Coturnix japonica: one gene and its partner. The main gene of each other region encodes a partner of the protein of the gene in region 2 in a complex. Links are inferred from orthologs where the notes say so. Each region holds a gene or a part of one and is shown on either strand. Other genes may lie near its edges.

Region 1 (5,176 bases), on a different chromosome or scaffold from region 2:
CCATCAAACACTTAAAAAGGATTAAAGCAACCAGATTGTCTAGTAAAGAAAAGAGTATCAGCTGCGACAAAGTATTAAATACAAAATATACTTTTAATAAGCTTTACAAAAACTTAATTTACTTGGTGAGCCTCATCAATTCACCGTCTCAGTTTCATGTAAGCATCATTAGAAGCAAGTCAAGCAACACTTGAAATTCTAGCACTGTCTGTGCCCTGTTTCCAGAAGCATGGCTTCAAGCAGTAGTTTGCTGCTGTTGTCAAGGTAAGGCTGGTATAACCACGATGATAAATAGACCATCATCAGATCCTGGTCAGTAGAATGAGCAATTTCTTGTACAATTGTTTGCTTGAGTTGTAGTTCCTTCTTGTACATTTCAGAGAGCTTCAGAGAAACCTCATCTGAAATGGATTGATAGTAACAAAAGACAGAAACTGAACATTCTTTATTTATCTTGACTGACACTGTGATAAGAGCTACTTTTCTTTGTGTGCCTCAGAATTAACTGAGGAATATCTCATTCTTCGCATTCAAGGATTTCATTTCAGCATCAAGTAACAGGTCAGACTGTAGCCAACAGCTTAACATTACCAAACTGCAAAATTGTCTGTCTCTACAAAAGATGTGGCTGTTGCAGCTTGGGCATTGGAAACTGCTGACAAGCTCGGTTCTAAGCTACTGTCTGGCTGTTGCATGCCAGACAATGCTTGTCAATTCATACAAGCAGTCATCAGCAGTAATCCTAAACCAAGTAATGCACCCGTGTGTTTATTGATCAGTCAGTTATAAAGAAGACTGATTCACACACTTTCTCTTCCTAAGGGAGGATAAACAGATATAAAACAGATATGAAAGTCCTAAGTTGGATGACTTCAACGACAAAGTGCATTTATCTAAAATGATCAATAATTTACTTACAGAAGTACACTGTGGGCCATGAGTGAAACAGGGGTGCTGTACAACCCCCAGCTCCATGGTGGTACTCTTCCAAGTCACAGACTCCTTTGGTAGTTGAAGAGAGCTTTTCCATTTTCAGCTGTATTTTTGTCTGGAAACAATGAACACATAAAGCTAATGAGTACCTCGGGAATGTTAAGCCATGATAGTCTTCAGCATTTTTTAAACACTTTCTGAAGACTTTAGTTAGTCTTAGCATTTCTAATTCACTTTTTTTTTTAACTCCAGATAGGACTCAAAACTGGAACTTATATAGAGAATTAATGATTTACCCTAAAATTTCAGGTGCTGCAGATAATTACTGATTCTGATTTTGCATAAAAAGGGAAGCACCCAAATAACTCTTGCTTTTTCCCACAGAACACAATCTGAGGAAAATCTAAGTGCTCCTGCTTATTCTAAATACTGGTCTGGTAGCCTGTCTGTATAAAATCCTATCTATTATCTTTTTAATGATCCTCCGAAACAGCTAAAGGCTGTAAAAGTCTAATGTCGCTGAAATGTGACATTAATTCCTGACAATTTATCCAGAAAAGTGGGCAGAATAATTATCTTTCTCTGCTCCTCATAGAAAGTATGAGCTCTGCACAGAAAGTAGAAGTAGGCAGACTGGAAGTGTAATTGCATGAGGGCTGAGCAAAGCTGCAATGGATATCATGGCAGATAAAGCATTACTGTACTTTAAGTTGGTGTTTACTTTGTTCTAAACAGGGGATATTTGGGATAAGAAAACAAACATCAGTGAGTGCGTTTTTAGAATGGATTATTATATGACTTGTTTTCAGAGGATCACATTATAAGTAACATTAGAAGTGGAGAGTAGAATTATGAGCAGAAGCTAGATATATATAAACAGCTTTCAAACCTATCAAGAAAGCAAACAAATGGAGCATGCTGGATTTACATCATAAAGGTCTAAAGGCAATGAAGTATGAATGAACATCCCTGATTTTAAGCTTGCAACAGATCCTTAACATCATGTTCTTATGTTGTACTTGAAAACTCTTGATATTGCTTCTAGGACTGAAAAAGGAATGTTACCATTTTTTTTAAGGTCTCCAGTAATTCTGTGCAGCAATTGTCCAGTTCTTTGTTGTACTTTGGAGACGGCTTTTCAGATTCTGTGGTACTGTTATCACAGGTTATCTCCAGTTTGTTATCTTGAAATCTAAAACAGAAACATAAGGCAGGCATACAGGTTTACTCAAGCTGTGCAGACTTAAAGTCCGTGTGATCTGATCCCACAGAATCTCTCAGAGGCTGCTCATGAGAATTCCTACATAAAACCAGAAAGGAACGCAGCTAACCATATCAGCAATAAAGGCTGGTAACCTTCAGAAGAACGTGGGGTGTCTCTATGTTACAGTCTGTGCTCATAAAAAACCCAAAACACTCACAAACGTTAAGATAAAACCTTTTCCCACTTTACGTTGTCCCTGACAAGGGGGAATGTATGCCAGGCTTCAACCGGCCCAGCCAGGCCTGATGCCTCCCCACAGCCACTTTCACTGTCAGTTTGATCTAAGATTTAACTATGAACCAGAGCAGCTACTGAGCAGGCATGTGTCTTGTCTTGCTGATTCTCCCACTTCTTGCCTTTCATTCCTGTAAACATTGACAGAGAAGAGGGAGGTGCTAGAGAGAGAAAGCAACATCTGACACCTCCACAGCAAAATATTCCCGAGCCTTATGTGATAGAACTGTCAAACAAACTCTGTTCACCTGACAGACTCTTCAGAAGCTACTTCTCAAAACCCTGCCTGTTGTAAGGTTTTTCTTCACAGCATGATAACACTATTCTACCACAATTATTTTATTGTTTTGGGTTTGTTTTGTTGTTTTTGTTTTTTTTTTCCCAAATCATCACTGCTATAGCTTCTTCTGTCCACATAAAACTCCAAAAAATCGTTATTGTGAAGAGAACAGAGTAATTCCTCAGAAAGGCAATCCTCATGCTGTCTTCACTTGTATATGTTATTAGCGTACTTACTGCTCACTGATCTTCATGTTGACTATTTTGTTTGCAGTAGTAAACCCATTATCATTCAGTCTCTCCCATTTCATCATCAAGTTATGCCAGTCTGCTGCATTATCTTTAATTTTTCTTGCACTGGCAGATAGGACAGGTCTTCTCGGAGTACCATCAGCAAGACTTCCTGCTATGTACGACAAAAACAGCAAGTTCAGTGAAAACATAGAGAAACAAGTCATTGTGGCTGAGATAAAGGCTCGGCCATCCCGCTCCGGCTCCATGCAGGCGTTGCCTACAGCACCGGCCCGCTCCTCACTCACCCGCCATAGCGGCGCCCGCGGAAGTGCGCTCACGTCCGGCCCCGCCCAGGCCCGGCCCCGCCGAGCCGCTGAGGCAGCGGGGCAGCCGCCGGTGCGTGGGGGTCCGGGTGTTGTTGCGTCCTCTCTCTCCCGTCCGTCGGCAGCCATGACCGCCCTCGGCTCTTGACGCGGTAAGAGCTGCCGCGTCTCCGTGCAGCCTCCGTCCTCGGCGGTCTGTAGCCGCGGTGGAGCGGCCGACAGCGATGGTGCGGCCGGGAAAGCTTCTCCGCCTCCTGCTGCTGCTTGTGGGGAGGAACGCGGAGGAGCGCCGGATGGAAGCTGGTTTCCAGGGGAGGAGGATGCGGTGGGCGCTATGCCGGGCTGAGGGAACTCGGGGCTCGGAGGTGAAAGTTCGCACCTGTGTGTGTGTGGGCTGCAGCCTGGGTCGGCCTTTCCGCAGTCCCTGTCGGAATTCTTTCTTGTTTGTTTGTTTTTACCCTCTGCTTTGTGAAAAGACGCCCAAAATGCAGCGTTTCGTGGGTAGCTCGGAGCCGCTCGTGCGTTAATTTGGGGGTAACTACCTGAAAACGTGAGAAGAGTTGGGAAATAAAAAGCGTTTGTAGCTGGCAGGATGTGGCCGAGGTCAGAATTTGTCCCTCTCCAAAGGGCCTGAACGTAAGGATTTATTCCCATGGAAGAGCTGAACAACAGAGCTGTGCAGGGAGGATGCCTGGGTAAGAAAAGCAGCGACAGCTTTGGCCTCTTGTGCTGAGTCTGTGACATACGCTGGAGCTGGAGCCAACGGAGCGTCTGTCTGAGCACAGGATTATCCCCCACATTGGCCGTCCCTGTGCTGAGCCCTCTGCAAGGAGTTCAGCTCTGCAGCAACAGCTCTGCTTTCCAAATACTTCATTTAACACGATTCCTAAGTGCTGTCTGCGAGTTGTAAAGGGAGGACTCTGATCTGGTGTTCCATGGGCAGCATCAGGTGTTGCCTGCAATCCTTAGTGCTTGTTCCAAGTGGCTGCTGACACCTGTCTGCAGGGACAGCCCTCTGCTCGCCTTTGGTTAACAAAGATTAAATAGGGTCCTAATGATAAATAGAAGACTATATGTGATGTGTGAGTGTAATTAGAAATTGAAGACCGTGCAGGAAAATGATTGCGTTTACACAAAGTGCCAGAGCATCTTAGTATGGTGAGGGACTGATATCAGCTGAAAAGAGGAGTTAAAGAAACAAACACGGAGCTCATGAAGCAGTAACTGGGGAGTTTATGGCAGTTTATGTTAGAGGAAGTTTTGTGTGGGGGGGACTCTGCACCAAGTTTGGGTTTCAGTTAGGAATAACAGTCAAGCAGGAGGCATTAAAATTGCATAACCAGCAAAGCAGTGTGGATAGGGGAGCAAGCAGGAGACTTCAGCTGTAGGTGTTGTTGGTGTTTAGTTGGCTGTATGGATAGAAGGTAGAAAATGCCACGAGAAAGGAGTTCTAAAATGCAGATAGGAAGGAGATGTGTGAAAATATAAAGGAGTGGTGATGTGCTCAGGTTGTTTGTAACTCAGTGCCATGAAGAACTCTTGCCTGAGAAGTAGTTTGGTCACATTCATCTGCTAATCCATGTGATATGTTATGAAATAGGTGTTGTGACTGTTGTAAACAGTGTCAGAGTGGGATTATTTTCTATCAAGCAGTGCAGCTTATCACAGTTATTAATTACCACATCTGATAATTGTTGCTGGCTTTTTCAGTGGCTGTTGGTTTGGCTTTTTGTGACTGAGAACGCAGGAGTCCAGGCACAGCTCTTTATTCCTGCTGCCTTGTAATGCGGGCTTGAATGGGCAATGCATCATAAGTAATCCCTTGGATTTGGTGGAATTGCGTGTTGACAGCAAGTGTTGCAGGGCACGGAGCCAGCACGGTGAATCTTCCTGCACTGTAAGAGACAGA
Region 2 (4,836 bases):
AGAGAGAAAGGAACAGTGACAACTTGTGGCCACAGCCTTCACCAGTGTGGTTTTGGCACAGCCCGATGGCCCGTAGAGAAGAACACCCTTTGGACGAGACAGGCCCATCCTCACAAATGCCTGAGGAAATTTCATGGGCCACTCCACACTCTGTCAACACATAAACAAGGGATGAAATTCTCGGTGACAGAACTGAAGATCAAAGACAACCAACAAAACAGCGGAGCACAATACTCCAACTCTTTAGTGCATATATTAATTTGAAAGCAACGCATAATGCTAATTTGGTCTTCCTTGGTAGAAAAAACACAAAGCCACCCTTCTGGAGCTTCCCTCTCAGTCTCAAACAGAATAAAAGGCAATTGTTGAATGATATGCAAGAGCCACCTCTGGCTATACATTCAGAAATGGACTGCTGCAGGGTTTACCAGCTACTGGGAAGCAGAATAATTATTTCATTGTGTTATGCTTGCTGCTCCTATCTTGAGATGCTAAATTATTACAGTGCTTGTCATTTAATGTAGTAGAAAATAATACTAAAAATTTGCATGATAAAGCACTTCTGCAACATAACACACAGAACAGTTTGAAGAACAGGCCATCAGAAACTCTCTTGACCTAAACGCATTTACACCTTACCTGTTTTAACTTCAACTTCACATCTTCAAGACCACCAATCTGCTCCCAAGTGACGGGTTTACATTCTTTGAGTCCAATTGCACTTCGAAAAGAGGATGGCTGAATTCTTTTAAAAGCTTCTTGGAAATCTGACATGTTAATCAGCACTTCAGCTGAATCCTGAAGGAAAACACAGTGTATTAGCCACATTTTCACATCATAAATTATAAAGCTTTATTAGCACATAAAACGCTTCACAAAAGGCCAAAGACAGCCATAATCACTAAACTTCCCACCCTAACAAGCTCCAACAGTGTATACACAAAGATGTAACAAGACAGAATATACACTCTTTGTGGCAAGATCTTATAAGGAAAGAACAATTTTATCAGACTTGTGTGTTCGACAGAAAATTACTTTTCTCCCTAAATCACAGCTCCAACTAAGTTAAACAGATGCTAATTCAGGGTTACTACACACGAATTCCCATATTCTTTTAAATAATCAAAAAGGTCCAACATTCATAACCCTCAAGCAGACTGCAAGTTCCAATCTTAAATGACAGATGCAATAACAGAAGTATTGTGATATGCTTTACCAAGGAGCTTGCAGTTCTCGTGGCAAACAGCCCATCTACTTGTTGATTATTTTTATTTGCCCATCTCTGTCTTCCCAGGATACCAGGCTCAAATTATTTCACTATTTTCAATTACATTTACAACACTTTAACTTCTGAATTCCTCATCTTGTTCAGATTTTCAAGTAAAACTAAGTGCTAATGGAGAAAGGGTGTTAGATAATAACCATGACTTTCATCTTTATTTACAACCATACCAAGGAGCTGTGGAACACAGCCTGCATGGCAGCTTCTCTGCAGAGCGCTGTAAGGTCAGCTCCAACGTACCCAGTTGTCATCTCTGCCAGTTTAACCAAATCAATGTCTGCAGAAATGGGCATGCTACAGGTGAGCATCTGCAGGATGGATCTCCTCTGCGTAAGCGTCGGGGTCCCAATAATAACCTGATCCAAAGAAGATGAAATTTTCAATAGTTACTTCACCATATTCCTGTCATTTTGTCAACCTGGCCACGCAAATTTGTCTCCACTTTAAACCAACTACTAAGGATTTATACATACTTACATTACAACCAAAGAATTTAGGAGAAGCTTAATAATAGATTACAGATATTTAAAGCATCTTTAATTTATGCCTACTTTCCAAGTGAATAGTTGTATAATCAGTTGTTCATAAGACACTATGAGTTACTGTCCATCGAATCCTGTTTTAAGGTAATAGAAACATCTGACTTAGCAATTAGGTTATTATTTCATTGTTCTCAAAGGCTGAATTAGATAACAGGTTTATTTAATTGAACACGTTCTGTAAAACACAAGCCAAGAGCAAAAGCATCTTCAAGGTTGACTATGTGAACTGCGGGCTTGTCTTTACTAACCAGCCCCATGACACCTCCCTTAAACAGGAAGAAAAGAGGACTGAGCACGGACAGCAATGTCTGCTTACTTCTCTGTCAAACCTGCCTGGTCTTCTCAGTGCGGGATCCAAGGCGTCAGGCCTGTTTGTCGCTGCCACAACGACCATCCTGTCCTTACGACCGACACCATCCAGCAGCGTTAGCAGCTGAGCCACAAGGCGATCCTCAGGAGCGCTGTTGGAACTCCCTCGTTTTGGGCACAAAGCGTCGATCTCATCAATAAACAGAAGCGTGGGCCCTTCCCAGGACATCTCCCTGCCCTTCTCAAAGACACGTCGCAAATTCTCTTCGCTTTCCCCCGGCCTGGAGCCGCACAGCGCCGGGCCGCTGATGCACAGCAGATCCGCACCCACATCTCTCGCCACCGCCTTCACCAGGAGCGTTTTCCCCACGCCTGGAGGGCCCACCAGCAGCACCCCATTGGGGACGGGAAGCCCCAACTTGTTAAACGTCCTTGGGAAGCGGAACGGCAGGTCCACCATTTCTATCAGAGACTCCCTCACATCGTCCAGCCCAGCCACAGGAATTTTTGCTGTCTCTTCCGTTAAGAGCCTGTACCGTTCTAACGCCATCACCTCTTTAATCGTTACATTTGTCTGCGAGGTTATCAGCCCGGCCTCCTCAGTCGCGGGCTCTACAGACAGGATCTCTATGTGCACCACGGGAGTGCGGACATTAGGGCCGACGGTAACAACGTAGTGAGGGGAGACGTAGAGGTTGCTCAGCAGGTCCCGCACCGCCTCCTGCAGCCCCGCAGCCCGCCTGGCTGCCCCGCCCCGCAGCACCACACGCACCGCAGCTCCCCGCAGGCGGCGGGCGGACAGCGGCTGGAAGCAGCCGGGGCTCAGCGACAGCTCGCGCAGCGCTGCCAATGTCAGCCCGGTGCTACAGGCCGGGTCCGCCTGCACGTACCCGTCCGCCAGGTCCGGCCGCGGCCACGCGGTGCACAGACAGCACCCGGATGGCAGCGAGATCCGCAGCGGAGCGCCCAGCACGACCCCGAGGGACGAGAGGGCGGCGGGGCCCAGCCGGCACCGCTGCGTGCCCTCATCCCTCGGGTCCGGAGGGAGCAGCCTGAGGGACACGGGATCCATGGCGGCACGAGCACGCGCCAACAACCGCCACGAAGGGCGCAGCCGCGGCCCCGCCTCCCAGCACACAGAGTCACAGAGTGACCCGGGTTGGAAGGGACCTCAAGGATCATGTAGTTCCAACCCCCTGCCCGGCAGGGCCACCAAACATACACCTTTACTAGATCAGGTTGCCCAGGGCCCCGTCCAACCTGGCCTTGAGCACCTCCAAGGACGGGGCATCCACAACCAACCCTCGCACCTCCCCGCCTCCCCTCACACATCCCCGCCTCCACGGAGCACTTGGGAGCCGCCTCCTTCCCGAGAGCCCTGCCCGGCGTTACCTTCACAGTAGCGTACGAACCTGCTGGGCTGAGAGAGAAAAGCATCATCGCCAGTGAAATCTGCAGTGTGCGTGATTTCAGTCCAGCGAGTAGCTTAATTGTGAGTAAAGTAATACGCACAGACTCCAATTGAGACCCCACACACTGTGATCACACGGGGCAGGGAGGGATGCCCTGCAGGACAGGGCTGTCAAGGTGTGTTCCGAAGGCTCCTGCAGAAAAGCATAAGGAAATCCTTCTGACGGTGTCCTTTACCATGGCCCTGTGTGAGCCAGTACAGAACAGTAACCAGTACAAACAAAAAGAGGCAATCTGAATGTTGTTAGCTCAGCTAGTTCTAAATACTTCATAGGAACTCATTATAAGGAAGCAGAGCCCAGAAATCATTAATACAGCTTTTTGAAAGTGTGAAAAATCGCCTTGTTTTGTTTTGTTCTGGTAGGATGAAAACCTTATTTAAGAATTTTTATGGGATGCACTGCTGAGTGGCTGCCCTGGATTGGAATGTGTACCTTTGAGTAGCCATCGCTCCCAGAACTTTTACACACCCCAAATTCACTCCTGACAAACAGATCTACCACCAAAAATCTAGTTTAAACTGTCAGTCACCCCCCAAAATCAACAAGAAGACCAAAAGCAAAACAAAACCCAACACGATTTTCACGACATTCACTAGATGGCAGCTGATCTTCAAGAATGACTCGTTTCTCCTTGCAGATCCAACAGATCCAAGGGAGCAGTCATCAGCAATTAGAGAAATCGAATGCTGCCCATCATTGTCTTTGCTGTGTTTCAAATATCACACTGAAAATCCAGAACAGTGAGTGTTCAGATCATTTCCATCTTCATTTCCCTGTTTTTCTTTTAATGTTCAGTTTCTTTCTGCTAATTTATGGGGAGGAGTGTTCCCTTATTGTTTGCTTTCATACTTCATGGAGCTTCTCTGGCAAAATGTAAATGCTATATTGTACCTATGCCAGATATTGCACATTTAAAACACCACGTTCCATTATAATAGAACTTCATGGATAAATTGTAAAGATACTCCTAAAGAAGGATGGGAATGAGCTCTTTCATGTCTGCATGTTTTTATGGGAGGGCCACCCTCAATGTGTTTACTTAATTTTCCATTGAGAATCCAGTCTTGTATCTTTATATGGAAGAGATTCCCTTTGCAGTTAGCAGGAATTCTGGACGTGCAAGCCATGTGAGGTTGGGCCCTATATTTTTCAAAGAAGGGTGTGGAAAATCTCTGACTACTGTCAGACAGCTACTGTGAGGCCATTGGAAATGAGGAATCACATGCTGTAC

What was found. Proteins that work in one complex are often made in the same cells at the same time.
Region 1: SPATA5L1 (region 2) and CINP share a complex: the UniProt entries of both Homo sapiens proteins name them as parts of the 55LCC heterohexameric ATPase complex. The link is inferred for Coturnix japonica from reciprocal best matches to the Homo sapiens genes AFG2B and CINP.

The regions. Positions count from the first base shown.
Region 1 is NC_029520.1:45,118,376-45,123,551, forward strand, and holds CINP (cyclin-dependent kinase 2-interacting protein), read right to left. Parts: upstream 3,375-5,176; 5' UTR 3,257-3,374; coding exon 3,250-3,256; intron 3,117-3,249; coding exon 2,948-3,116; intron 2,126-2,947; coding exon 1,999-2,125; intron 1,049-1,998; coding exon 919-1,048; intron 402-918; coding exon 199-401; 3' UTR 73-198; downstream 1-72. Other genes in the region: TECPR2 (tectonin beta-propeller repeat-containing protein 2), read left to right, coding at 3,561-3,632. UniProt on the Homo sapiens protein: Component of the DNA replication complex, which interacts with two kinases, CDK2 and CDC7, thereby providing a functional and physical link between CDK2 and CDC7 during firing of the origins of replication.
Region 2 is NC_029525.1:9,450,767-9,455,602, reverse strand, and holds the start of SPATA5L1 (spermatogenesis-associated protein 5-like protein 1), read right to left. Parts: upstream 3,255-4,836; 5' UTR 3,206-3,254; coding exon 2,141-3,205; intron 1,639-2,140; coding exon 1,453-1,638; intron 799-1,452; coding exon 640-798; intron 151-639; coding exon 1-150. UniProt on the Homo sapiens protein: ATP-dependent chaperone part of the 55LCC heterohexameric ATPase complex which is chromatin-associated and promotes replisome proteostasis to maintain replication fork progression and genome stability.